Notamacropus eugenii: one gene and its partners. The protein of the gene in region 2 purifies or fractionates together with the protein of the main gene of each other region. This does not show direct contact. Links are inferred from orthologs where the notes say so. Each region holds a gene or a part of one and is shown on either strand. Other genes may lie near its edges.

Region 1 (7,205 bases), about 29 Mb from region 2:
ACAATGACTGGGGAAGGATTTCCAATGCATTTACTTTCATGTTCTTTCACAACCTAAACACCTGCTCTGTTTCCAGCCATTAAAAAAAGATAGTTGCTACAGATGGGATTGGGAGTAGGGAGGAAATAGAAGAAAAAAATTTTCTCCCCAGTGACTACTTTGATAGTTCCTGTGTATTTAGTGTTGGAGTACCCTGAATTAGTGTGCCTCACTCCAGCTTACTTTAATTAGACCCCTTTAAAGCTAGTCAGATGGGTATTCAAATCTCTCCACTTAAAAACACCTCTAGGTGCAGCAAGGCCAACACTGGTATTCATTGTTTCCCTAGAGGCAAGTCAAAGATGCACAGTCATGGTTAGAAGGTACCTCAGAAATCATCCTCAACAACATCTCTAACAACTGGTCATCCCATTGCTACTTGTGGGAAGCTCACCACCTCCTCATCAGCTCATTCCACATTGAAACAGGTCTAATTATTGGGGAATTTTAAGGTTACACTGAACCAAAAATGTGTCCCTCTACCACTTCCACCCATTTCTCCAAGGTCCACCCTATGGCACCAAAGAAAACAAATCTAGTCCCTCCTTCTCCAAATATGACATCTCTCTAAGTACTTAAAGACAGTTTCTTTTTGTCCTTCCTCAGTCTGTGTCTTCTCTCACTGCCTTTACGAATGCTACCAAAATCCGTAATTTTCTCCCTCCCCTTGAAATCTGCAAGTGATTATAACCTATAAGAAACAGACTCAAGTGTGGTAAGAGCTATAATGGCAGGGGGGGAGAGGACGGAAGAGTGACCTAGCATATTTCCATATGTTGGGAAAGCCCAACACATGAATGTGAGACAATTTTGTAAACTTCCCATCCAAAAGAATGAGCAGCAGACAATCCCCTTGTGGTTCCATACCTCTTACATCACGCCTAGCAAAGACCTGTCTTTCAGCTGGGTTTACCAGATGAGACAATAGTGCTAAATGGAAAACCCACAATCAACTAGGCCAAGGGCAACATGTAAGGGCCTTCTGCTCTTTCAGCATACATTACTAGCTTACCACCTGTTGGCTCACAAACATCAACTGGGTGACCTCCAACCCTGACTGACAAGGAAAACTCATCTTTGGGGACACTAGGTAGACTGGTGTGAGAGGTAACTTACCCATCTCTACCTTTACTGACAATCTTCACTTCAAAGTAATAAATGCCACAGGCAGCAGGTATGGGGTGAGTTGCACGAACTGATGCAGCGTCTTTGTGATTTTTGCCATGACCTGGAAGAAAGGGATAAGGAAGCTTCAGGAAAAGGAAATGCTAACAGCAGCCTCTCTCTTTCCTGTTTGGTGATTACTGCAGTGGAGCCCAAGCAAGGACTCATCACAAGTAATTCTCACACAGTACAAGGAGGAATTTGATGATAATTCAATCAGTTAACAGTCTGGCCCTGCATGTAACTATGTCAATGACCTACAGAACATGCTATGGCTGTGGGTTTTACTTTGTCTCACCTCTTCCAGGACTTAGAGAGACAGAAGCAGTAGCGCTGACTGAGAAACTGGCAGCAATACAGAGGAAAACTAGGTAACGATGTTCCCTAATAAAAGGCTGTGTGTCTGTGTGACTTCTAAAGATAAGGAGGTGATGTCTGTCAGTCCTCAGGAAATTGTGGCAGGCACCTTTCGGGCATCTGGGAAGTGGGGGGGGAGAGAACCAATACCCTGTTCTATTTACTTAAATGTTTCCCCTTAAATAAGAAATGCGGGGCTTCCTGAGGAGGTTTAGCAGGAAAAAGTGCCAACAGGCCTCTGGCCTACGGTTGGGGAGGTCACTACCAAGAGGTTAACATCAGGAAAACTACAAAATGGCCAATGGCTCGGCAGTCTGAGCTACAAGAAGCTAAGAAGCCTGTGTAGCAGGGAGCCTGGAGGGCCCAGTGCATTATGTAAGGTGCCGGCAGGAGACAGGGGACACCTGCTGGGACTCCTGGGGATTCAGTAAGCCATCAGGACAACCTTCTCCAGGGAAATGGGGGGGGATGGGGGCCCCCCCAAACTGAATCAGGCTGAATTCGGAGAAGACAGACAAAAGGAAGGTGGAAAGAGCATGGAGTGTGGAGCTCAAAAGCAAAGGTTTCAGTTTTAGCTCAAGGCACTTGGACCCCTTGGGCCTCAGTTTCCCTCCCCCCCAAAAAAGGAAAGGGTTAAAACTAGGTCTCCAACCCTAACCCCAAACATCCAAGACCTAGGTTTACTTATGACTAGGTAAGGATGAGAACAAAGCTATGGGGCAGGACACGGTGTCTTACACACTCACACACGTTAAGAGCCTCTCGGATCAGGGAAAGAAAGGCCCGAAAGGGAAAGAATGAAGGACAGAAATTTGGGGGGGGCCGAGAGGGGCTGTAGGCCCTCCCCTCTTCTCTGTCCCCTTCTCCCCTCCCCAAATATCTGCCGCGGGCTCAGACCGCAGGGAGGAGACTCCGCTGCGAGGTCCCGGATTGGGTGCTCGGAAGGCCCGGGTTCGAATCCCAGCTCTGGCACCGGTGAGCTGTGTGACCTTGGGACAGTCTCTTTCCCTCTCTGAGCCTCAGTTTCCTCACCTGTGAAATGGGGGGATGGAGGAGGGGGCGGTGCGCTAGGCGGTCTCTAAGCTCTCTCCAGATCCCCCGAGCCCTGTCCAAGGGCGGCCCGGCCCCGCGGACCCCCGCGGACCCCCGCGGACCCCCCGTCCCCCACGGCCCCGACCCCGGCACCTTTGTAGTGGACGCGGAGGTTGCTCTGGGAGAGGCCGATGTAGTTGTACTTGTCCTTGGGGCTCCAGGAGCGGGGCAGCGGCGTCTCGTGCTGGTTGACAGCCGGGTAGAGGCGCTGCAGGCGCCGGGTCAGTTCCTGCTCCCCGGGAGAGGGGAGCCCGCCAGCGCCGCTGCCGCCCCCGCCGCAAGGCTCGCCAGCTGGGGGGCTCCCCGCTCCCGGATCCGCCGCCGCTGCCGCCATCTTGGAGGGAGCCGCTATTGTGTCACAGAGAGGCGGGGGGAGACAAGCACCAGATCCGCCGCTCCCAGCCAATAAGCTGCGCGCCCGCGGAGGCCGTAGGGAAACTGAGTTTGACTTCCGTGTTCGCATGCGTGTCTTCCCGTCGGAATGACTACAAGTCCCACAGTGCCAGCGGTCTCAGGGGCGGGGCGAATTCGCTTGAGAGGGTGGACGCGCAAGGCTTACCGGGGGTGGTAGTCCGTATCTCTTCAGTTGGAACCCTGTCAAGGGGAGACTTTCGGACGGTAAAAACTACAATTCCCTAAAGGAAAGCGGCTTTGGCCTCTCAGCCTTCGACACCGCCCCCCACCCCGAAGCCACCGTAATTCTGTTGCCTTGGAGCGTGTTAACTTGTTTATCTCTAAGTATTACTTCTCACCTGTGTGAATATCCTAGGGAAGTCTCCCCCAAGCGGACGTGAATCTCTCCTTCCCAGACCTCCCATACAAGGGGCCAGAGCTGCTCCTCGTCGGGGGCAGGGACCCTGACCTAGCTACGGGCCGCGCGACTCAGGCAGTATCGCAGCCACCCCTGTCCGCGGGGGTCTTCGCGAGGCTGCGTTTCCATAGCGACGGACTGTAAACAAATCCCGGCGGAGGCTCCTGGAGTAAGGCGCTGAGGCTGCGGGCGAACGGTCGCTGCCCTAGGAAAGGGATATGGCTCTCCCTCGGCCTAAAGGCGATACTACCTTGTCCCAAGCGACAGTGAGGTATGGCTGGGGCAGAAGCTGGATCCCCGGGCTTCTCGCTTTCTCCTCAGCTGCAGGGGGGGGGGGGGGGGGGGCATAGCTGGTACCTCCGGGGGCGAGAGACTGGCACTCGCTGTGAGGGTGCCCACGTGTATTAGGAGAATAACTGCGCCTAGTAATAGCTAGCATTTCCATGGAGCTTTAAGATTTCCAAAGTGCTTTGCTAGGATCATTCCCATTTTATAAATGAGTGAACGGAAGCGTCCCGATTCAGTAAAATGAGTCTGTAAACCCAGAAAAATGATAAAATCCTGCTTTTGACTTTTAAAGTCTGAGTACACCTGACCTCCCTCTCCTCCTCCATCCTCCAACTCTGCTGGCCGTTGACACTGGACTCCCTGCTCTTTTGTCCCCCTGCCCTTGGCATTTTCCCTGGATATGTCCCATGCCCGGAGTTCTATCCCTCCTCATCTCCACTTCCTGGCTTCCTTCAAGTTTCAGAGTCCCCACCTTCTGCAAGCTTTTCAGGGCTTCCTAATTTCTAGTGCCTTGCCTTAGAGACTGTTTCCAACATATCTAGTATATATTTTCTTTATACGAAGTAGTTGGCACTGTTGTCTCCCACATTAGACTGTGAGCTCCTTAATAATAGCTAGCATTTGTCTACCTCCAGAAAGAGAACTGTGAACTCTTAGGTGCAGATTGAAGCATTTTATTTTATTTATTTTTCATTTACTTTTGTTGCATTTTTTTTTTTTGCAACATGGCTAACATGGAAATTAGTTTTGAATGACTCCACATGTATAATTGATATATTGCTTGCCTTTTCAATGGATGGGGAAAAGGGACAGGAGGGAGAGAGAATTTGAAACGCAAAATTTTTTAAAATGAACGCTAAAAAATAAAGCAGAGAGGAACACCAAATATAATAGTAATAACTGGCATTTCTGTAACACCTACTATGTGCCAGTTACTACTACAATCCCAGTTTTACAGTTGAGGAAACTTGAGGTTAAGTAACTTGTGCAAGGTCACACCGTATGTGAGGACACATTTGAACTCAGGTCTTCATGTCTTGAGGCCAGTCTCTCTATCCACAGGGCCACCTAGCTGCCTCCTTGAAAGCAGGGAGTGGTGTTGCCTTTCCTTGTATTCCGTGCTAAGCATAGTGCCTGACACAGAGTGGGCACTTAAAAATGCTTGTTGACTTGACTTAAGACTGAGCTTGGTTAACGAACTTGGCCAGAATTACAGACAGAAAGTGATGGAGGCCAAGATTTGAACTTCTGTTTCCTTAACTCTTAAGTACACACCCTATCCATTACTGACACCTAGAGGCCACTCCATTAATTTGGAGTCCTGGAATAACTCTCATTTCCATGGTGTCTTAAGGTTTACAAAAGGCTTCCTCTCAACAGCCCTGTGAAGTATTTATAATCCTTACCAGTATTATCCTTCCTCGTATTTCTAGATAACAAAACTGGGACTTTAGAAGCTGAAATGATTTGCCCTGGGGGACAGAGGGGCTGGTAAAGTATCAGAGGCAGATTTGGATCCAAGATTACCAGATTCCAGCTCTAATTCTTTCCACTCTACTATCCTGTGTATCTAATAAGATTTAGAGCTGGAAGATACCTTGGAGATTTAGTCCAACCCCTCATTTTACAGAGGATAAAACAGACCCAGAGAGGGAAGCTATTTGCTCCAAATTACACAAGTGAGAGAACCAAGGATAGAACTGGGATCTGGAGAAAAGAAGCATGTGCTCCAGATCATACAGGTTAAATGCAAAGTACAGTCCTATTAGATAGAGAGATTCACCAATGATTTTTTAAAAAACCTCATGTTTCTGTAGCACTTAGGATGACCAGGTTTAAAATTGAAGGGGACCTTAGGTATCAATACAGTGAAAACTCTCCATTTTACAAAGGATTAAATTAAAGCCTAGAATGGTCAAGAGACTTGCCCACAATTACACAGCTGGCAAGTAACAGAGCAAGGTTTTCTGACTCTAACTCTCCTGTCCTTTCCACTACTGCTCACATTCTATAACACTTCCTCCTCAGTCCCAACCTCGTCTCCATCAGCACACATCTGTGTGTCCTTGGGCAGATCATTTCCTTTCTCTAGGTTTCAGCTTCCTCATCTGTAAAATTAGGAGCATGGACTAAATGATCTGAAGGGCCTTTCCAGTTCTAAAATCCAATGATACCTTTCTTGAAGTTCATGCCAATAAAGATGCAAAGACAATTAGGATGTCCACTGAACGGATACTTACATTCATTGAATTAAGGCAGCACTGGTAAGGTAAAACACAGGCAAGGGATCTGTGGTCAGAAAGCCTACATTCAGATCCTAGCCCAGGTACCTGTATGATCTCCTCAAGTCATTGCTCCTCATCTGCAAAATAAAATATGCAATTGTCTTTCATATCAGCTGTTGGCAAAGGGGGTGGTGTATTTTTGTAGCTGTTGCCTGAAGAGGTATTGGAAGGTGAAAGTTGTTGATGATGAAGATGAGGACCTGAATCAGGGCTTCTTCACAAACGATTTTTCCCATAGGCCCCATAAATTATGAAATGCTTTGGGTATAGTAAATTCCTAATAAATGGCTGTTGAGTGAATCAATACTCACTTCACTCCCCTGTGCCAAAACTTAAGAAAACCTGATATCAAATCTGGCCTCAGATATTTACTAGCTGTGTGACCTTGGGCAAGTACTTAACCTCTGTTTGCCTCAGTTTTCCTTAACTGTAAAATGGGGATACTCATAGCGGTTACATCCCAGGGTTATCATGAAGATGAAATGAAATAATACTGGTAAAGTGCCTGGCACATAGTAGATGATATAGAAATGCTCTTTTATTAAGGAGCTCACCATCTAATTGGGAAGACAATATGCCAATCACTTTGTACAAAGAAGATCAATACTAGATCAATTGAAAAGAATCCAGTATAATCTGGGTTCAGATATTGACTCTAATACTACTAGTTTGAACTTGGGCAAGTCGAAAAATGAGAGCCTAGAACGAATTGATTTCTAAGGCCTCATCTTAAAGCGTATCCTCCACCTCTCATGATCCTTGGACTTTCTTATCAAAAAAATCTGGCCACAGGTATTTGTACTGGCACCAACTGAATTCCCCTTTGTTTTGCTTGGAACCTTGAATCCCTCTGGAAGGGTGTGAAATGTTGAGGAGCAGTATCATTACCCATTCTGACGGTACCCCTCTTTCAATGAGATTCTGAGCACTTTAAGAGGTTACCAGATGTTGATAGGAAGGGAACAGCTGTACCTTCTGCCCTAAGGCAAAACAAGTCCAGAATGGGACCACACTCTCTTTAAACCATTTTGAAATGGACCCTAAGAGAAACTCTTTCCATGGTGGGGAGGGGAGCGGTAAGAAATGAGGGATGGAGAAACGAAACAGAATTGCTTCAACACAACCTGGCTCTAATGAAGACAACCCTAAGACACTGACCCACAGTCATC
Region 2 (7,649 bases):
CACTTAGCCCTGTCTGCCTGTTTCCTCACCTGTAAAATGAGCTGGAGAAGAAAATGGCAAAACATGCCAGCATCTTTGCCAAGAAAACTCCAAATGGGGTCATGAAAAGTCTGACAGAATGAAATAACTAAAAACATAACTATAAAACAAATGTTTAGCACTCCTGGAAAGCAGTAATGAAGACTATGAGGGCTGGAGAGGCCAGGTGATATAGGATTAGATGCTACCAGTCAAAGAAGAACCCTCAGGTCCCCCAAGTCTGCTGACTTTCAGCAGCACTGAATTACACTAGATCAATAAGCCTTGCAAAGGAGTTTGAAATTTAGAAAACTGCCCCATCCCTATCAAGGAAAACTAGGGAGTAAAACAAGGACAGTCCACACTTTGGCCCAAACAAACTTTGGTTGACAAGTCAAAAAGCCCTCCCCAATTTGGAGCTTTCGTTTACATGTGGCCCCATTACCCACCCTGACCAAGCCCCACTTTCCAAGGAGTTAACGTTAACAAAGCAGGTACTCTGGGCTTATCTACCAGCACAACTGCAAGGCAATAGTGCTTGGGAAAGAATACTCTGCTTTCTGGGAAACAAATTGATCAGGCAGAAAATACCCCAGGCTACCCCACCTCACTTCAGCACATTTCCTTAATTCAGCCTGTTCCTGAGTTAGACTATCATGGTTCTGCTGCCATTCACAATCAGTGGCTTCCACAACAGCCCAAAAAGCTACAGTTAAGGTTACTCTTACTAGCAAACAAGAATAAAAATCTCCAATGTTCTGCTTTTTGTAAAGAAAAATCAACTGCAAAGACTATGCATTATTCAAGACAACCTGCACCAACCCCTTTAAACCCCCTCCTCCACACACAACTTGCCCAAATCTCCCTTTCACCCAGGCCTAAGTCTCTTCCTTAAAAGAGGATGGAATGGGCCTTTCTTATTCATCCAGTTAATTTCCAGGCAGCATCTTTCCACACAAACCATCCCTCCTTCCCTCCTGCTTACTCTCTTTACTAACAACTTCAGAGCTCTGTCATTGACTTTAAAGAATACATGTCATTATCCAAGAGGTTCCCCGAAGCCAGCCCTTTCCCACTGATTTCCAGCCTCTCAAGTCGACCTGATGGCAGGTTAATAATAACACTTGCATGGAGAGGGGGAAAGTCAGTGGGAAGGTGGAAGGGAAGGGACTCCAGAGCCCAAAGGAGTCCAGCCAAGGGATACTCAAGCCCAGAAAGGTTTGAGGCAACAGGCTATTGATGCCCTGTGGAAAAGCTAGAGGAGGGCTGGGCTGTGCAGAAAGGAAAGCTCGATCCCTTTCCTTGGAGCTCTGCGGAGTCTTCTGGAGAAACCAACTTTAAGAATGGATTAGTGCTGCTAGTACCGGGGTTGCAGAGACCCTGGTCTATGGGACCTTAGGAAAGAAGGGGGCAAGGCCCTGGTATGCATCCAAAGTGGAGGAGAAGCTCCCAGTAGGACACTCCTCACAACTGCAACGGATTAAAAGACCCCGTGGGCATGAGACACTAAGAGGGAAAAGAAGGAGGGTGTGATTAGAATGGATGCGAAAATCCTATTAGCTGAGGGGCAAGGTCCCAGTGTGCTCTGGGAGATGGAATTCCACCTTGAGTCCTCTGAAAAAGGAGGGAAGAGGAAGACAACTGGAAAGGAGCAGAAGTTCCCAGTAAGCTGCGGCCAAAAAGCCCAGTCAGACACTAGAGGAATTCAGTGCTGAGCTCTCTCTAGAAGGGGAGAAAAGAGGATGCCACTAGAATGGACTCGAAGTGCCCAGGAACCAGATCCAAGAGACAAAAACAAAACGGAACCAATTCAGAACACGGCCCAGGAGAGGAGGGAAAAGTGGAGATCACGGAACTAGACGAGATCAGGGCTGGCAAGAAGTAAGTAAGCTGCGGAGACCGTGCACTGGGCATTCCCCAGAAACAGACCGAAAGCCCGGGCTCGGTCCGTCTGACCCAGGTCTAGGACACATGGCAGAGGATGCGCCCGGAGGAAATCAAGGTAACAAACTTAGAGCAGGAAGCCAACTCAGAGGTCACGAGATCCAGATGGGGAAACGGAGGCCTACGAGGGTCTGGGCTGGGATCCGAAGGACCCCCGGCTTCGCTCTCAGAGTCAGGGGGTCCGAACCAGGGGAGTTCGGAAGGGAGGCGGCGGACCCACCGGGAGCTGAGCGAACGAAGAGAATGGGCCGGGGGCCCTCGGAATCAATCCGGAGACTTGGCTGGGGGTGGGGTCCCGCGCTGACCACCACTAGGGTCAGAGGGCCAAGGTCCGGGGCCCCAGGAGCCTGGAGGAGGGAGAAGGGAGGAAAGGGGGTGGAGGAGCGGCCCCCGCGCCCGCAGCCCCTCCCCCTCCTCGGGGGGCCCGCCCCGCCCCCGCCGGACGCCCCGCGGCGCTCGTACCCTGGCTCTGCAGGATCTCGTGCTTGAGGCCGCCCGTGTAGTCGATGAGCTCCTCCAGGCCGCGCTCGCACAGCTGCCCGTAGCCCGAGAACTTGTGCAGCACCTTCTCCAGCTCCCGCTCCACCGTCACGCACTGATCCATGCCGGGCCGTCCCGAGGCCGCGTCCCCTTCCAGTCCCCTCCCCGTCCCCTCGGCCCGGGGCCCCCGCTCCGGGTCCTCGGCGCCTCCCGCGCGGCGGCAGCGGCTGAAGCGGCGGCGGGGGCGGCTCAGCGGCGGCGGCAGCGCCTTGAGCTGCCCGCGTCCCCCGGCTCCATGACGCCCCGGCCCCGCTCGCCCCTTGTCCCTCGCCCGCTGCTGCTGCCGCTGGGGCAGCCGCCGATTGTTTTTGTTTTCACAGGAACCGACCGATGACCTGGTTCTCTTCCCGGGCCGCACCAAGCGCCGCCGGCCCGAGGGGGAGGGCGGGGAAGGAGCGCCGGGCCGCGGGCCGTACCAAGCGGGACGGCCGAGAAAAAGAGGGGGGGGTCGGAGAGCCGAGCGAGCGCCGCGGCCCGGGTCTCTACCAGCGCCTAGCGCGGGGCCGGCCGCGCGCAGCCGCGGTTAAAGTGTGGGCCGTACCACGGGAGGCCAGCGAGGGGGAAGAGCGGGGAGAAACCACCGGACACCCCCGCGCCAGCCAGGCCGGAGGACGTGCGTGAAGGGAAAAGGGGGAGGCTCCGAAGCAGCCCTAATCCAGAGGGAAACGGCTTCTAACCCCTCCCCCGGGGACGGCCTAAAAGCGAACCTATGGCCGGGCAACTAGAGAGGAGGCACTACGTCATGAGGGAATCTCCTCCAATCCTGGACCGTAACATCAAACCTCCCCCAATCCGAGTCGAGCAGGCCAAACCAACCGACTCGCTGTCGGAGGGGGGAACCGCTCCCGGGAAGGCAAAACAAACATCGACCCTTGCCTAAGGAAGCCCGCGCGCCAGTACCCCGTTCCTTTTCTATCCCCGACCTCCCCAAGGCCAGGCTGGGAGCGGCCGAGATGACCAGGCCTATTGGTGGCAGAGGCTCTGCCGACTGATAACGACCCTGTCAACTGTCCTGGGATGGGGAGGGACAACCGGAGACCAGCTCCCCTGGAGGAGCAAGCCAATGGCTTTTATTAGTCATTGTGATTAATTAGTGACCTTAGAACTCGGTTGGCTCGGAGGGAGGAGAGAGGACGGGAAGGGAGGGAGTTCAAGGAGGCAAGAAGAGCGCAGGCGCAGGAGAGGGGCGGGGCCGAGCGGGCGCGTGGCTCCTGCACGTGCGGCCCAGGGAGGGCGGGGCTACTGTGGTTTCCATGTGTATGTGTGTTTGTGTTTATCACTGGAGGGAAAGGGAGAGGGGGAGGGGAGGAGCCCTTAGACCGAACTCAGCTGCTGCTGTTTCTGCTGCTGGAACAAGAAGAAAGGGATCCTGGCTTCTAGCGGTGCTAAGCTGACCCACCCAACCCTCCTGCATTCACGGGACATGCCACGTTTTCCTTCCGAACCTTTGCATAAGCTGTGCCCTTTGCCTGGCCCATTCAGTGCTCTTATAAACTTCACTTTTCAAACTCTTAAGTTTCCAAAAGAAAAAAAAGTAGCCCTTCCCATCGTTCTACTAACCAGAGCACGGGACCTGGAGTCAGGGAGACCTGAGTTCAAATCCATTCTCACTAGGTGTGTGACCCTGGGCTAGTCACTTAACCTCTGCCTCAGTTTCCTCATCTGTAAAATGGAAATAATGCCTCCCAGGGTTGTTTTGAGGATCAAAGGAGATCATACATATAAATTGCTATTATGACTAGCTGTCCTAGGCTTTCTTGCAGGAGGGAGCCCTTTTCACCTCCTTTGGGATCCTGCTCCCACAATTATCCCCCTCTCCTGCATCTTTTGGTCTGATGTCTTGGGGACTAGGGAAGAGCAGCCTTCATCCAACCCCACTTCACTCAGATTCTATCTTTGTTGTCTCCTTTGGCTGTCCACTCTCAATCAGTCTGTACCTGCTTCCTCTGTTTCCTCACTAGGCATTCCTGGCTTAGGTCAGGAAGTCTGGCTTCTCCCCCAGTCCCCATCCCATCCTCTGCCCCAGGACTCAAAGGGCCCCAGGGCACTCTCTGTCAGGTCCAGTGTCACTCAGCCCCGTAGGTCCTCAGTCTCTTTGACCTTGTCTGCAGCATTTAGCTCCATGGATCGCCTCCCCTTTCATTCCCATAGGCTCTTGGAGCGTTATTACCCCACCTTTTTTCTTCTTTTCCACATCTATTGCTGACTCCATTTTTCCTCCCATTTCTTACCTGAGTTGCTAAAGTTCAGACCTTCCATCTCTGCTCTTTTCTCTAACAACTCATCCATTCTGACAGTTTTAGCCATCATCTAGGTAGAAAATTACAGAATTTATGTCTCTGGCCCAAACCTGTTTCTGCCAAGTGCCCAACTAAACATCTCCTTTGGAATAATCCATTTTTAACTCAGTATTTTAAAAACTAATGTTTCAAATTGGTTTTACATGCAATTGGGAGAAAATAAAATACTAAATATTTTTTAAAAGAATAATCCTTTCTTAACCTTGATCTTAACCTATCCAAAACAACATATCACTTTACTCAAAACCCACTCTCCTTAGCTTTCCTGTTTCTGTCAGTAGCAGACAGGAGCTCAGTCTTTTTTTGATAGCTGTTTCCCTGACCCCCACAAGTCACCAAATCCTATGGCTTCTCATGTTTCGTTTTCTCTTCTAGTCAGTTCTTTTGGTTTGCACTGTGATCACCCCAGTTAGGACTTTATCACCTATAATATGTCTTAAAGAAATTGTTTTACATGATGCTCAGAAAAGTGTAAAGACCTCAAGAAGAGCAGACCCCCTGCTTCCAATACAGCTCAAAGTGCTGTCATCCAGGGAATTGGCTCTTAGGGAGATGTGGCCTGGCATCTGCTTCTGCAATTTTTGCAGGCCTCCTAAGGGACCACAGCTACAAAAGACATAGAAAACGAAGTCTTTGACATTCCCCTGTGGTTAAACATCAGAAATGGATAAGGTTTTATCAAGGAAAATAACATGAAAGAAGAGGAATCACCATCTGCTTGGTGCACCCAAAGGACTTTTCCAACTAACTTGCACCTAAAACCTCCCATAAATATTATCTCCTCTATTACCTTTTCAGGAATGTGCACATTGGTAATGAGGTTGAGGCACACATCGCTAGAGCTGGCTCGATGTTTGAGAGGCTCTCAAGGTAAGTGTGGGAGAGAAGAGGTATTAGACTGACTACTAAACTGAAGGTCTACAGAGCCTTCTGCTGACCTCATTGTTGTATGCCTACAAAACATGGACAGTCTACCAGCGCCATGCCAGGAAACTGAATCGCTCCCATTTGAACTGTCTTAGGAAGATTCTGAGGATCCCCTGACAGGATAAGGTAGTGGACCTCAGTGTCTACTAAACTGCCAAGCATTGAAACTCTGCTTTAGAGACTCCAATCGGCTGGCTGCTTTGTTCAAATGTAAAACATATGCTTGCCAAAAAGACAATATTGTGGAGAACTCACACAGGGCAAGCATTCACATGGTAGTCAGAAGAAGCAATACAAGGACACTCTCAAGGTCTCTGAAGAACTCTGGTATTGATTTGTGACATGGGACACATTGACACAGGACTGCTCAGCATGGCATGCCCAAATCAGAGAAGATGCTGTACTCTATGAGCAAAGCAGAATTGAAACAGCTCAAAGGAAATGCAGAATATGCAAATTTAGAGTATTCAACCCAATTGTTCACATGGACTATTTGTGCCCTCATGGTGGTAGAACATTCTGAGTCATCTTGGTCTGATCAGCCATAATTAGATACACTGAAACTTGACTTTAGCATAGTAATATCATTTTGATCCTCTTCTAGATCAGACAACAACCATTCTCCTCCATTAAAATGTGTCACCAGAAACTTCAGTGGGTGGAAAACTAAAGAAATTAGAATTTACTTTACCAAGGTAGGGAAATACTGTTCTAAAGGAAGGGTCTTTTTGAAAGGTTAAGTAATTGGTCTTCATGAACCCTCTCCTTCACTTTACATTTAATCAGTTTTGAATGCAATCAGTCTTGGAATAAAAGAAATGGGAAATCAAGGTGAGAGGAGAAAATCCAAATTTTACCTAGTTTACCCAGAACGCCTTAGGGACAGCTACTAGGGAAAATCTTGACCTAAAGCTAGAACTGGCCCTGGGATAAGAAAGACCTGGAATCAAAACCTGCCTCAGACCCCTTCCATGTAGAACTAGACTAGAATAATGACGGGATTCTTCATTCCACTCAGTTCCTCATCTGTGAAATCAGAGGGTTAGTCTAGATGGCTTCTCAAGCCTCTTCTGGCTCTCCATCTGTGATCCTACAGGGGTTTTTGTTAGTTGTTTTTCAGTTGTATCCGACACTTCATGACCACATTTGGGGTTTTCTTGGCAAAGATACTGGAGTGGTTTGCCATTTCCTTCTCCAGTGAAAACCCTATGACTTTTATGCAAAAGCAAGATCCTGGGAGAATGAGTCTGGCCATTCTTAAAGTTAGGAAATCTTGACCTCAATATGTAAAAGCCTGCAAACCTTTCATTGAAAAGCACAGGTTAATTTTAGTATTTCATCAAAAGGCAGACTGTCTTTTAAGGGTATTGTTAGGTCTGGGGGGGGGGGAAATCACTTCAGTACCATCCATGGGACTTGGGAGGTGGGGTAGGAAAGGCTTCTTTTGGGGTTTTGGGAAGTCAGTGAAAAGAAAAAAGAGTTGAAGCCCCAGCTCTGTCACTGAGCAGTTGGTGGCACTGGGCAAGTTCCTTCACTTCTCTGAGCCCCAATTTCCTCATGTTTGGGTGGGGATCACAGGATCATAATCTGAAGCCTAAAAGGAACCTCAAGAGTTCATCCAGTCTCCTCCTTTCACAGAGCAGAGGAGTGGATTTTCCCAAGCTCATGAGGATGGCGTGAACTAGAATTGGCACTTGTACGCTCATGTAGGACTTCTAGCTCTGCTTTTTAACTTTGTATTATTTCATGCAGACTTTTCTACATTTCAGAATATTTTCCACATTTGCTTTTATTTAGGTTGATACAATCTCCATCTGCAATCTCTAATCATAGTCCACTTAGCCATTTGGCATTTTAGGTTTCAAGTTTTTAAATATCACACAGTATAGTATAAGCTACAAATACCTTTGTACAAAGTAT
Region 3 (6,893 bases), on a different chromosome or scaffold from region 2:
TTACTGAACTCAATCACATCATGTCCAAGTTTTTATACAGCAGTAATGACCCATAACAATTCAAGAGCTCAACAACAACCATGTCTCAGCTCCCAACCTCAAGTACTAGTAGTCTAGTAGTAACTAGACTATGATACTTCAAAGAATAACTGCAGGACCAGGTACACCTGTTTAAGCCCCTACCTTTTATTGCCAGTTCAATAGGGTACTATAGCTTATCTCACACCTTTCAAAAATGAGAAAGCTAAAGAAAGCAGAAGCAATGTACCAATTATCTTGTCCCCACTCCAGCTGAGGGCTAGACTGCTTTTCTGACTTCATCCTCAAACTGGAGTTTGAGTGTCAAGTATTTTAAAAAACAGGTAGAAATTTGACAACGGAAAATAGGAAAGGGAGAACATTCCAGTCGTTGAGAAAAGCATGAGGAAATGCACCATACATTCATGTTTTAGTTTGGCTGGAGCTGGAGAACAATGAAAAGGAAGGCTTTCCAGATTAAAAAGTCTGAAACTGACTCAGAACACATAAGGGAGAAAAATGAAGATTTTTTTTTTTAAAAACTGAGCTATGCAACTAGATAAAGTCATACAGAGATATAAATGATAGACTAGATCTGGACAAACAAATGGAAATGAAGAGCATGATGATACAGAGGCGGCACTGTGAGGAGATGGACAACCCCTGCCCTCAAGGAGCCTACCTTCTATTTGGGATACAGCTCACAAACACAAAAAAAGATAATCTGAGGAAAGAACAAAGCACTTACTACTTAGGGAGTTCAGGAATGGTTTCCCATAGAAAACTTTAAAGAAGCTAAAGATTCTAAATATCAAGGAAGAAGACTGCATTTCCAGCACAGAAATTTCCAGTACGAACCTCTGCAAAGGCAGGAACAGGAAACCTTGGTAGATGTACCAAGTTAGGTGAATAACAAGTAGATCAATTTGGTTGAAATATAAAGCACATGATATAAAACACACCTAAAAAGGTGGTCTGGAGTCATCTTGTTTTGTGTATTTTATCCTAGAGGTAATAGGGACTGAAGATTCTTGAGCAAGTGAATGACAGACCAGTACTTTGCAAAGATTAATCAGGCAGCTACTAAAGAATGGACTGCAGAGAGTCAAGACTCGTGGAGGGGACACCAAATAAGATTCTACCCTAAGACTCCACACGGGGAGGCAATGAGAGCCAAAGGAGGCTAGTGGTCATACGTGCAGAGGGAAGGCTAATAAGTATTTTCCAAGATACCGCCTCAAAGACTCACTACCTGTGTGACCATGACAGTAACACTCAACCTCACTTTGAGGGAAAGTTTCTGAGGTGGAATCAACAGAAATCTCAGATTTAAAAAATACAGGAAAAAGAAAAGTCAAAGGTAACAAGTAAAGTCTTCAACATGAAAAACTATATGAATGGTGACATCAATGGCAAAAACAGGAAAGTCAGGAGGAGAAAGAGGTTTTTGGGGGCAGCTGTCAATATAACACAAAAAACTAATCTGACCATAGGTCATTTGGCACCATTCAGTGAACCGGATCCTGTGACAAGCAAAAGATTTCCAGTCAAACTGTGGTCTGACAGAGTAATGGACTGGGAGTCAAAAGGACTGAATTGTCCTAGTCGCAGTTTCATGATGCCCTTTTAGTGACCACACTAGAGCTGTATAATTTCTAAATATTATGAAACTACGGGGTTGAGGGGGCGAGAATTGGACATGACCTATATAACACAGATCACATACTTGTTTAAAGCTCCAAGTCAAATTAGGAACATAAAAACAGCTTACACAGGTATATTAGTTTGATGTTCACAACAACCCTGCAACCCTGAGAGGCAAGGTAAAATATGGACATTATTTCCATTTTATTACCCACTGAACTCCAATCTCTTTTGACTCCACACTTGGGTTTGCTTATAAAACAATGCTGCCTGGCACAGCGAAGACCCACGGGAAAACTCTGGGGGGGAACAGAGGTCTTAAAACAAAAACTCTGCCAAGATGGGGGAGCACTGGGAGAGGGGAAAGACTTTCTTCCATTTTTTCCTTTTTTTCACACGTCCTAAACTGACGGAGTCCATTTCTTCCCCTGTACCTGGAGGATAATCAGCCCTCCCCCGCCTCTGCAGGCGGTAACTGAGATCTAGAAATTAGCACGGGGGCACGCTCCGGACGCTTGGGGGCCGGAGACGGAGCCCCCTCTTTCCTATCGGCCTGGGAGCCGCCTTTGGCCCGGGCGCTTCCCAAGGGCTCCTGGATGGCCCGCTTTGCACTGACCCGTCCGCAGTCACCGCCGGGTACCCCCCCCCCGGGCGGGCTCCTCCCCCTCCCGGGACCTTGGAGAACTTGAACTCGCCCCGCTCTTGGCCTCCCAAGTTTTCCCCCCTCCCAACTTCACAGGCCATGCTCCCAAGCTTCTCTCCCGGAACAACGCGCCGCCCACTCCGGGGGGTTCCCCGAAGCTCCGCGGTCCTCGACCCCGCAGAGACTTCTTCTTCCGCCCGCCCCAGCTCCCGGCGCCTCCCGGGCCGCACGCCGTGTCCCCCGCCAGCTCGGCCCGAGCGCGGCGGCGGCGGCGGCCCTAATGCCTGCGCCCAGACTAGACGAGGAGGGCCGGGGCGGGAAGACGAGGACGGGCTCGGCCGGGCCAGGGGGCAGAGAAGGCCGCGCCTCCCTCCCCGCCTCCCCCCACACCCCCAGCGGCAGCGGCGGCAGCAGCAGCCCAAGCACCAGCAGCAGGCCCGGGCCTCTCTCCGCCGCCCGCCCCTCGCCCGCCCCGCCATCTCCGGGGTCGGGACACTGCCCCCCGGGCCTTCCCCGCACTCACTCGGGGAGGTAGGTGGAGGAGAAGGAGCTCCACTTGTGCAGCGCGTAAGGCAGCAGCCGGCTCTCAGGCGCCGCAGCACCAGCCCCGCCAGCCGCCATCTTGTCAGCTCCCAACCCGCCGCCGCGGCCGCCGCCGACGCTGGCAGCGCCGAGGGGACGGGAGGGCAGGGGCGGGGCCTGCTCTTAAAGGGGCCGCCTCCCCATCCGGCGCGGCGGGCGGGCCCCCGCGGCCAGGTGCGAGTCTGCGCTCGGCATCCGACGCTTTCCGGAGCATCCTTCCCTCGGGTGCGCCTGGAGCCGGGGCGACCCCGTGGAGGTAGAGACACGCCGTCCTCGCCTCTACCTAAGGCCGCCCGGAACCGAGACTCTTGTGTTTCCTTAGGCTGATACCTGGGGAAAAGAGACCTTGGGGACGGGGAGAGGACGGCGGCAGGGAGAGGGCACAGGGGCGAAGGACTGAGGAAAGGGAAGAGAGGCAGAATGAGGGCCTGCTGCCCACGGGGTGCTCGCCCTCCCTTCCCCCTCCTCACGTGTCTGCCCGTGTGCCTAGAACTGAACAGCACAGCCGGTAGGGCGCCGGGACCTGGGGAGCGGAGTGGGCCGGGGCCGGGGGGCCGTGGATCCCGTTTCCGCAGCTTCGCGCAGGCGCGAGGTGGGCATGGGGGGAACGCGGGTTGAACTGAAGCGGTCCGTAACTTCCCCGGAGCCCCGACGCCCCCGGCCCCTTGGCGTTGCCTCGGACCGGAGATGGCGCTCTGGCCCCGGACTTACCCCCCCCGGCCGCCGGGCCCCTCTTCCGTCTCCCCCCTGCGCCGCCGAAGGATCCTCCCCGATCCTGGCCGATCCAGGTAGCCCTGGGCTCGCGGGAAGGCCGGCGTCCGAGTCCGGCTTTACTCCAGGGAGGGCCCGGCCAGCCAGCCCGGGTCAGGAAAACCTAGGAGGCTGGAGATTGAGAGCCCGGAACGGCCTCCGCGCTGCCAGCCTTGGCAAGAGAGACAGAAGTGGGCTCCAGACAAGGCCTCCAAAAGCTGAACTTTTCAGAGAGGATCGTTAGAATCACGTCATTGCGGAGCTGGAAGGGGCCCCAGCACCCTATGCTGGATGGAGAGAAAGGCCCTGGACTCAAGTCACCTCGCTTCCTCTTACTGTATGTGTGACCTTGGACGAGTCACTTAACTTGTGCATATCCGTTTTCTAATCTGCACACGAAAAGGATAGACTAGATGATCTCTAAAGTGCCTTCCAGCTATGTTCCAAAAGATCAGAAACCTCTTAGTTTATAGACGGTGAAATGCTATGGAAGGGATGATTTCTTAGAGTAGAAAGGATTTCAGCCTAGTGGGGTCTAAGCAACTTACCTAAAGTCCTACAGCTGCCCTGTAGCAGGGGCAGTATGTAGAATATAGGCTTCCTGATACTCCAGGATTGTTTTTATTACCCCACGTTTGATTGCTCCTATAACCGTCTTCTACTCCCCACATTTCTGAAGATCTTATCCCCATCTCCTCATTTACTGGAGCAAAAAACTGAAAGCATCAGAAATCTAGCCCCCACTAAAATGATCCCATGCTTCAAGAAATGGTTGGAAGAATCACAAATATATTTAATATGTAAATGTATACATGAGTCATTTGTGTATTGTGACATAATATGCAATCTACCCCAGGAAATTTTTCAGTTAAAATGTCATTAATTACACATTGAAACAGTGAGATTATATCTAAACTGGAATGATGAATGAGGCCATCATCTTCCATCTCAGCCTAGAGATACTGAAAGAACAGTTGAAGGAGAACAGTAGAGAATGATACAGAAAAGCTGAGTACCACATGGAGGGTAAATAGTGGGTAATTTGAGGTGACTCTTCAATGAGATGACTCAGTAATTTATTTTCCCTATGTAACTTTAACCTACAAAAAGTCAAAATATGTGCTTAATATATAGTAACTACAGTTGAATTAGCAAGGTAACAAACACTAGAGGAAGAAAATGCCTCATGAAATTACATGAGAGAATTAAAACACATAAAGCTGCTATTAGCCAGCTCCAGTGCAATCAACCTCACAAGCTTGTGTTTCAGGGTCCATCTGTGCAGGCCTTCCCAGTCCCTGAAAAGTTGGGGCTCGACCTGAAACACCCTCTCCCCACACACATATACATACCCCCATGACAAGATGCAGAAGGAACTAATTCTGCGAAGCCACTTGAAAGAATGTAAGTCCATGGGGGAAGGAAGATTTTGAACTATTTTCATAAATGAGTTAAGAAAGTTTACTTTGGGCAGGGAACAAATCTCCCATATTCCCCAAACAGAAGACGATGAGGACATTTTGTGCCATAGCAATAGAAGGGCAAAGGGACAAGAATGAGGAGGGAAGCCAGAGACAAGTTACTAAAAATACATTTTTTTTTAAAAACTGAAAGAGAAAGAAAAAGGCTGGATACAGGCCTAGATACGAAGTAGATCAACAGCAAAAGAAAAAAAATGCATACAAACTACCAAAAAAAAAAAACTGAACTATCATGCTATGTTATTATGCTAGGGAATGAATGATAAATCCCCCAATGGAAAAAAATATTCTGCAAATTCCCAGAGATCTTGAAACAACAGAAATGAATTCCAAAGTACTTGATAAGAGTAATTAAACTTTAAAAAGAAAAGATATTAGTTGAGAAGCATTTGTTAAGTGCCTGCTATGTACTATGTGCTCAGCACTGAGGATGCAAAGAAATGTGAAAGACAGTCCCTAAACTTAAGGAGTTCACAATTTAGTTGCAAACAACTAAACACAAAAAAAGATGGATAAATGATAAATTGGAGGTAATCCCCAGAGGGAAGGCACTAGTATTACAGGGGAAAAGCTTTTGTAGAAGGTAAGATTTTAGCCGGGACTTGAAGGAAGCTAGAAAACAGCAATAAGAAGGGAGAGCCTCCTAGGCAGGAAGGATATGAAGAATTCTGTTTAAGAAAGAGCAAGGTCAGTGTCACTAGAAAGCCAAGTACATAATGGGGAGTAAGGTATAAGAAGACTGCAATGGTAGGAGGGGTCCAGGTTTTTTTAGTAGAGAAATTCAGTGGGAAATTAGAGAACAGAATTTCAGGGAAAAAATGGCAAAATGGACAGCTTTGAACATATTATAAAATTCAGCACCCATGTTGGCAAGGGGTAAGGAGATTTGGAGATAGAATTATCTGGTCTGAAAAGTGGTGAGTGATCATGATAAGGGCCAGATATAGGATTAAGCTTCATGACTTGGGTTCCAAAGTGAATCTTGTCACTATGTGCTTCCTTCTTTATTAATTGTCATCTCCAAGAGTAGGACACAGCAGAAGACCCCATCAAAAGCAAAACAAAAATAAGGTAAATTAATACATACGTATATAGAATAATGGGTGGTAAGGAGGATAGGGTAAATAAGATATATAAAGGCAATTCCAGAAATAGGAGAGAAGAAAATCAAATTTGGGACTCTAGAAAGTCCATTTCTAATGAAGGAAATAGAATAAAGAAATAACAGGTAAAGATCTAGGTATAGCCAATGAATGGGAGAATAGAATGCATAATAAATACTGAAATGAGGAAAACAGAAAAAAAACAAGTGAAAATTTCTTGGAACAACAAAAGAATGCTACTTAATCTAAGAAGTTGGAAGGGGAAAGGAAAATTATGGAATACATATTTATCTGAGTGAGAGGTGGAAGAATATTTTTAACAATTTTGAAAGAAAAATTAACATCTTAAGTAAACTGAGGTAATTTAGGATATCAGGTAAATGAGCCAGGATGACAAGCCTGTGGGAATAGAATAGAATCAAAGCAGTATCACCAAAACTAATCAAAGGTACAAAGAGCTGACTTAAAAAAGGAAGGAACAAAAATCAATACAAAAGAAATAAATGAAAAACACAAACCTAACAATCATTACCTTAAATACAAATGGATTAAACAATTCAATAAAAAAAAAAAGAGGATAACAATAGATAAGAAAACAAAATCCACCAATTTTTGACATACAAAAAAATCTAAAAAATGAAAATTATATAATCAAAGTGAGGCTCAAACAGC
Region 4 (7,364 bases), on a different chromosome or scaffold from region 2:
CTTTGTGGATGAAGAAAGAGATTAAGTCTTGCCTTTCTCAAGGTCACAGCTGGTTAGTGGCAGAGTTGAGTTAGGTCTTTCTAATTCTAAGACCAACAATACTCTTTCCACTACACAGCACTGCCTAAATTATAAATGACATATAAAGTTCTAATCTACAACCTTGTCTATATATGCAGCACTCAATGAAAAAACATATATGGGGGTTTAACAAGTGAAGGAAAGATACCAGGGTGACATGGATATTGATGAGATGGGCTGTGGTTGTTTTGTTTTTTGTTTTTGCATCTGTGACCTGGCTAATATATTTTAAGAATAACAAAACATCAAAGAACCAGAATGTCCTACATTCAACCCAATACTTCATCTATTCTGTTTAAACTGACCATTATGAAGCTTGGAATTAACAAGGAGAAGATTAACAGTGTATATTGTAACTAGAGTGTAGATGAGAAAGATAAAAGAACATGTTTAGCAAAAAGGAGCCACTCAGCACATCTGGACACAAAGGTGCTCTCTTTATATTCCTTCCACAGTGTCCTAAGATTTCCTTTGCACTTGGCTTCTTGGATAGCAAGAAGTACACTGCAGCAAAAAAAAATGTAGACCCGGTAAAATGCATGATATGATAGAATTCTTCTCAAGGCAGAACCTCAAGAATGAATACGGTACAAGCAAACAGGCCACAGGGACAGAAGTAGCCAGGTCCTAGCTGATGGAGCAACAAGAATGCTAGCTTGATGAACGAGCTCACCATCCACCTGCAGAACAAGCACAGCCTTTACCTGACATGACTACAATCCACATTAGAAAGTTCCGTTTGAGCTAAGATGTCTTATAGCCAGCATCCATGGGCTTCTACTTTTAGCTGTCTTAAAGTTCCAGTCCTCATCCTGATCTAAAATATCAAATTCAGCAGACTCATTCTTATCCTTTTCCATGATATACATCCTCACCTGCCCCAAACTTAGGTTGTCCTCAAATGTGGAAAAAGTGAATTATTGAGATTAAGGTCCCAAATTAGAAATCAGGGTCACAAAGAAGACAAAAACATTTTCATCTTTACAATTTATGGCTAATCTCTAGAGCTCTCTTTCACTAAGACGATTTCTGCGATGGGTTGTAAAAGACATTCGCAACTACGCTCTAGAAAGGACACAAAATTTGGGAAATGAAGAGAAAGCCTATTATATATTGTTTCTAAAATTCAGGAAGAGCACAGATAAATCACCACATTTTCTCTTAATATAAACAATATGACAAAGGATAGCAGCTAAGTTTTCAGGCCTGAAAGAAAATCATCTACCTTCCCTAAGGGAAGAAAAGAAGAGAGGTCCTCTGGTATATAGACTAGGCTAACTAAGAAGAAAATGGTTAAGGCAAAGTGCACTGGACATCTTCCCATTCCAGGAAAGGAGAATAATGATTTCCACAAGACAAGGAAAAAAGGTTTGTTTTGCGCTCAAGAACAGGGGTCCCTAATCTGGGATTCATGAACTTGTTTTTAAGGTGTCTTTTGACTAAAGGCCTATTTGATCTGAGGCAAGATGCTAGACCCTCTTAGACCAAAGAAAAAGGCATGAGTAAGGAGCAATCAAGATTGTCCATCCCGTTCACACATCCAGGACAAAATTTCACATCACCACCCTGGGCAAATTCCTCCTAAGTGGCACGGATGTGCCAGGAAACATTTCCAAAGCCAGCTCAGGGAGAGGAGGTGATGTAAGAGGCAAGGAGGACCTCTTTAATAGAGGTTCACAGAGAGAAGGAATGCTGTCTGAAGGGAGGGGAAGCTCACTGGGGGGACTAACCAGACCTCTTCCTCAGGAGAAGTGGGAGTGGTTGTTGGTCAGGTTATGAAGAGGAAATAGAGGCGAGGTACGGAAGAAAGTTGCCAGGTTTCATGGGTTATTTCAACCAGGGAGCAGGTCCCCAGATGAGGAGGAAATGAGCAGGTTCTCCAGGGATCAAAGCCTTTCTAATGAATGGGTGTAAGGCAGGAGAAGAGGATGTTCTGTGCAGCAGAGAAAGGTGGAGATGAGGGTGGGGTGGGGCAATATCAGGAGTGTCGGGGCGGGGGGCGGGGGGGTCCTACGGACAGAAAAGGACAGACTGATGTGGACAGAAGGAGAGCGGTCAGTGGGTGACTCAGGGAGGCCCCGGGAGGAGGGAAGGACAGATATAAGATATCGGGGGGCACGACGTCTGGTGGGGGTGAGGAAGGACCGAGTAGGAAGTCCGGGGACAAGAGGGGAGCAGAGGCCCCGAGGTGGAGATGGGGAAGGGAAGGCCCCCGCAGCGGTCGGGGGGTGACTCAGGGAGGCCGGCCTGGGGTGCGGAAGGACAGACGTCTACGAAAAGGGGGAATTGGGCCAGAGAACTAAGACCCTGCTTGGGGGGGAGCCCCCCACCCATTGCTGGGGGTGTCAACAATGGGGGGGAGTTCCAGGGGCCGGGCATGGGGGCCTGAGCACGGGTGCGGACCAGGAAGGGAGGCCGGCCGCGGGGAGGCCCGGGCCGGGCCGGGCCGAGGAGGCCGCCCGCCCGCCGCCCGCCGGGCCGGTACCTGCAGCACCACCTCCACGTCGTACGAGTTCCCCTTGCTCTTCTGGTGGCCGCGGAACTTGGAGCCGCTGTAGAGGAGGCTGGTGGCCACTCCGGGCTGCTGGGTGTTGATGGGGGGCGGCGGGATGAGGGACGCGGCGGACGCGGCCGAGGCTCCGGCCGGCGGGGGGCACTCGGTGCGGACCGGCATCTCGGGGTCCCCCGGAGCCAGGGCGGTGGGGTGGGGGAGGGGGGAGGGGAAGGGAGAGGAGGGGGGAAGGGAAAGCCGGGGAGGGGGGAGAAGCCGCCGCGGCCGCCGCGCGGGAGCCGGAGGAGGGCGGGCTGACCGAGGGGGCCGGGCGCGCGCAGGCGCGCGGGATGAGAAAGGGAGGGGAGGGAGGGAGGAGAGGGACGCCCACCCCGCTATTGGCCGACAAGCTACTCTAGCCGCCGACGGGTGCGGGAGGACTAGAGAACGGGGGCTCCCCCTCCCTGGATGCCCCCCCCCACCCCGCCCCTACCTACACACTCATGTGCGCACGCGCACACAGACACATACCCACCCACCCACACACATACTTACACTCATACACACATAAGCTAATTCAGGCCAATTGGCTCTGACCCGGTGAGGGGGCGGGAGCAATTTTAGCCGCCGCTTCTTCTTATTGGTTGGCGTGAGCCACACGTGTCCAGAGGTCGAAGGCCCGCTGGGATATGTAGTCTTTGCCTAGAGACGGAACGAGTTCGTGACGCTGATTGGCTGGGAGGGCTCGAAGGTTAGGGGACCGGCCGGTAGTGGCTCAGGGTCATATGGCGGTGGCCAAAGGAAGTTGAACTCAGCTAGTGGTGGGAGAACTCTGCAGGCGGGTCCGGTGCAACTGCCCCAACCGTGAGAGGTTGCGGTCTTTCTCCTTCACGCCCTGGGGTCCCCTCCTCGATTGCTCCCTGTCCCCGCCCAAAGGTGCTATGTGGCGAAGCTGCTTTCGGCTCGGGGCCGGAGGCGCGAGCTTCCCACGCCGTCCTTGCTTGGTCCCTGCCGCCCCCGTAGAGCCGGGGGACCAGGCCGCGCCGGCCCCGGGGCTCTGGCTCCTCCGCCGGGCTTACGCCCCCCCCGCAGGTGAGCGCAGGCGGGAGGCCCCGCTGCGGCCGGGCCTGGGCCGCAGGTAGCTCGGGGGGGGCCGGAGAGGGGCACCCGCCATGGCGGGATGGACGGACGGGCCCTGCAGCCCAGGGGTCACCTATTCCAGGGAAAACATGTGGAAGCGTGTAGCCCTAATGTATGGAGGTATATGTGTGTGTGTATATATGGATATAGATCTGCTTATATTTGTATCTGTCTGTCCATTCAGACCTACATCTGTCTGTGCCTATAACTAGGCATGTGTAGATTGAGGTAGATCCACGTAAGTAGGTGTATGTGTAGATATGTCTAGTAGATTCACCCTTTATAGATGTGTATAGCGATATGTACATATATGAAGATAGAGGTATAATCCTATTATATATAATAAATTACATGTATCACTGTACATGGTCCCAGGTTCAGTTAATTTGGGTTTTAATGGTAAATTTACCTTGGGAAAAAATTGACAAAGAACAAAGTGGAAACAGTGCATTTACTCACTCAATCTTCATACTCGCTTTTCGGCCCTATCGATGATATACTGAGGTATTTTTTGGTTGAAAGTTGGCTAGAAAATTTCTACTGCAAGTTAAAATCTGCAGGTGTCTCGTTTTAATATTTTTAATAAATGGGTTCAAAACCTGCTGAAACTTTTCATTTAGAAGATTTTTAAACAGGTTAGAAAATTGTTTCCAAAGCTGTTTAGGTTTTTTTTTTTTTAACTTTGAAGATATGAGAGTTTATAGATGACAACATAGCATTTTTAGCAACAAAATCACATGATGGAAATATTTCCAACCTTCCATTTTCCAGTGCTCTCTTACATTAGTTCTTTCAAAAACCATTCTCATTCTTAAAACATTAAAACTCATTAAAACATCACCTTTATATTGAAAGAACAGATTCAAGTTAATTTCTTCTTAAATAACTGCTAAGTACAGTACTATTTCTGACAACCACTTTCATAGCAGAAACTATCACTTTTTTTGCTAAAAGAAAAATGTATAACATCTGTAAGTTTGGTACTTGGTTATCACTGGCTATTATATATTATCTATATTATCATATATAGTATATATATAACCAGTGAACACCTGTATTGTACAGCAGATTTTCTGGTTACTTCCCAATCACATTAAACATACATACTGCTGCTTTCTCAATAAAAACAAGCTAGAGTGATTTAGTAATAGTGATCATTTCACTTTTCAAAACTTTGATGTGAATGTTAAGGGTGTGAATTAAATATTCAGTCAATTTGATTGATGTGGCTAACCAAACAGATGAATTTTAATATTTCTCCTTTAGAGGATAGGACTATCCAAGAGGCACCAAACCATCATGAGGTGATCTGGGGGGCAGTGTATGTGTTTGCTGGGGTTCGGGGGATTGTGGGAGATGCATTGACATACCTGCTGGGATTGATTGGTTTTAGTGATGGAGTAGAAGGGGAGAGGTTTAGGAGCTGAAGGCAAAGTGGGGTAGTGTTGGGCAATAATGGTTGAAGGGGGTGCTGGGGTTGTGTTTGAGAGGTGCCTGATGATTGGATGTCTAGGCAAAGGATAGATGTAACCCATCTTCTGACTGGTTGGTCGATTGGTCGTACTCCACTTCCCCCTGCCCTTCCTAGTGGATTGTCCCATACATTTTCTCCTGATTTTTCTTCAGATTTTTCCTGGTATAGAGGAAAGCAGAGATCTTTATGAGTTCCTGTAGATGAATTCTGACAGCTACTTTGCCACCTATTCTCTTGGCAGCAATTCCTTATCTGTAGACTGTCTTTTCTAACTTGAAATATATGATTGATGTCTCCCCTTTCCCTCTCTATACTGCAGAGGGGGCAGGGCAGGGAGAGAAAGGGAGTTGGCCTGGCCAGTTAGTGGCCAGTACTCTTTACCCTAATATAGTTGCTATGGGAAAGATTTCTGATCTGTCTCCACTACCTAGAAAATAATTTACGTTGACTCATTTAGAGTTTTTATCATATAAGGGAACTTGGTAGGAAATTTACTCTGTGGAAAATTCATCATGTGGCAGATCTTCCTGAATGAGTCGATGAATGAATGAAGCATTTATTAAGCACTTATCATGTATAAAAAAACTGTGGATATAAATAGAAAAGTAAGCCATTCCCTCCTTCCAAGGAGCTCACATTCTCCTGGGGAAACTCCATATGGAAGGTTTCAGCTACAAGTCAGATTGAAAGGTCCCCTGGTCCTTAGGGTACAGCAGCAAAGCAGATGGTGATGATTGATCTTCAATGCCATTTCCACTGACAAAATCCTATCAGTTTCTGTGTTGAACCATTTGACACTGGATTGAAAGCACTACAGTTCCAAAGAGAGATGTTGGCTGACCCAACTGGTCTGTGATGCTTCCTGTCTCTCCTTCAGAATGCCCTGCAGCTTCTTCTGAGTGGGCTTGCTTGACCTCCTCCATCCAATAGTTTCATATTCAGTCCTATTCAGTTGATCTGAAAGAACTCAAAACAAAGGCAGTCTAATGCTTTGTGTTTGCCCTGTGTCTTTCCTCCAAAGAGTACACAATCTAATGTTGGAAGGTCATGGTTAAAGGTGATCTTTTTGGTAAAAACAGATCCTACTATGTGCTAGACACTGAGGCAAGTTTCTGCCATAGACGAGTGGTCATTGGCACTACAAGGTAAAACAAGATAGTGAGCTCTAATAGAAGTACAGCCTCTTTTATTTGACATTGAAGCCCTCCAAAATCTGTTTTCTACTTATCCTTGGCTGATAGGGTTTTACTGGCGTTTTCCCCCTCGTTCACTCCACTCTGGCCAAATTGATCTGCTTGCATTTCTCTGACCATAGTATTTCATCTTTGCCCAGCCTGTCCCCCTCCCCCCCATGCTTGGAATGTTCTCCTCCCTTACTTCTTCCTCTTGGAATTTCTGGCTTCCTTCAAGGCTCAGCTCAAGGGTTACCTCCTTCAAGAGGCCTTTCCTGGTGACTCCCTAGTTGGTAGTCCCCTCCTATCCACCACCATCAGTCACTGTATTTATTTTATACAAGGTGTCTCCCAAGTCTTAGTATACTTTAAAACTACTAAAGATTAAAATTCACTCAACTAAGACTTTTGGTAAATTTGAGAGCAGAGACTGTCTTATTTTTATATTTGTATCACTGATGCCTAGCACACATCTTGCCACTTAAATTGTTTATCAATTAAATAGTGGCTAGCAGAGTCAGAGGTGACTTCATAGAGGAGTTGGTACCCACACTTAAATTTGAAAAAAGACAGTGATTATGAGAGGTGAAGAGGAGGAAGAAATGCATTACAGACATAGGAGATGGCTTTCTGGCTTCAGTCAAGTCTGGGCATCAGCAGTCTGGTATAGGGAAGAGTGCTGGATTTGTACTCTGAGGCCCTGAGTCTGCCACCTAACAGCACATCACTTCCCCTCTGTGGGCCCTAGTTTTGTTATCTGTAAAATAAATTTGATGAGCTAACTTCTAACTACAATACCAGTAGTCCATTTACGCTAGACCAAAATGTTCATGAAGAACAGTCTGAAATAAAGCTGAAAAGTTGTAGATAGGAGCCAGATTGTGGAAAAGCTTAATTGACAGACTCAAGAATTTACATTTTATCCTGTAGGCAATTAGGAGTCACTAAAGACTTTTGAGCAAGGTAGTAAAGTGCTTAGATCTGTGTTTTTAGGGAAATTAGTTTG

Evidence for each region.
Region 1: the proteins of RMND5A (region 2) and RANBP10 purify together in Homo sapiens (affinity purification with mass spectrometry; 4 studies listed by BioGRID and IntAct, counting the BioPlex papers as one, with this or other methods). This does not show direct contact. The link is inferred for Notamacropus eugenii from reciprocal best matches to the Homo sapiens genes RMND5A and RANBP10.
Region 3: the proteins of RMND5A (region 2) and MKLN1 purify together in Homo sapiens (affinity purification with mass spectrometry; 4 studies listed by BioGRID and IntAct, counting the BioPlex papers as one, with this or other methods). This does not show direct contact. The link is inferred for Notamacropus eugenii from reciprocal best matches to the Homo sapiens genes RMND5A and MKLN1.
Region 4: the proteins of RMND5A (region 2) and GID4 purify together in Homo sapiens (affinity purification with mass spectrometry; 4 studies listed by BioGRID and IntAct, counting the BioPlex papers as one, with this or other methods). This does not show direct contact. The link is inferred for Notamacropus eugenii from reciprocal best matches to the Homo sapiens genes RMND5A and GID4.

The regions. Positions count from the first base shown.
Region 1 is NC_092872.1:696,102,018-696,109,222, forward strand, and holds the start of RANBP10 (ran-binding protein 10), read right to left. Parts: upstream 3,017-7,205; 5' UTR 2,987-3,016; coding exon 2,746-2,986; intron 1,268-2,745; coding exon 1,156-1,267; intron 1-1,155. Other genes in the region: TSNAXIP1 (translin-associated factor X-interacting protein 1), read left to right, coding at 3,682-3,734. UniProt on the Homo sapiens protein: May act as an adapter protein to couple membrane receptors to intracellular signaling pathways.
Region 2 is NC_092872.1:725,344,946-725,352,594, forward strand, and holds the start of RMND5A (E3 ubiquitin-protein transferase RMND5A), read right to left. Parts: upstream 3,010-7,649; 5' UTR 2,567-3,009; coding exon 2,425-2,566; intron 1-2,424.
Region 3 is NC_092874.1:119,238,864-119,245,756, forward strand, and holds the start of MKLN1 (muskelin), read right to left. Parts: upstream 3,013-6,893; 5' UTR 2,927-3,012; coding exon 2,829-2,926; intron 1-2,828. UniProt on the Homo sapiens protein: Component of the CTLH E3 ubiquitin-protein ligase complex that selectively accepts ubiquitin from UBE2H and mediates ubiquitination and subsequent proteasomal degradation of the transcription factor HBP1.
Region 4 is NC_092874.1:335,297,344-335,304,707, reverse strand, and holds the start of GID4 (glucose-induced degradation protein 4 homolog), read right to left. Parts: upstream 3,006-7,364; 5' UTR 2,756-3,005; coding exon 2,567-2,755; intron 2,032-2,566; coding exon of another isoform or gene 1,986-2,031; exon of another isoform or gene 1,941-1,985; intron 1-1,940. Other genes in the region: ATPAF2 (ATP synthase mitochondrial F1 complex assembly factor 2), read left to right, coding at 3,514-3,664.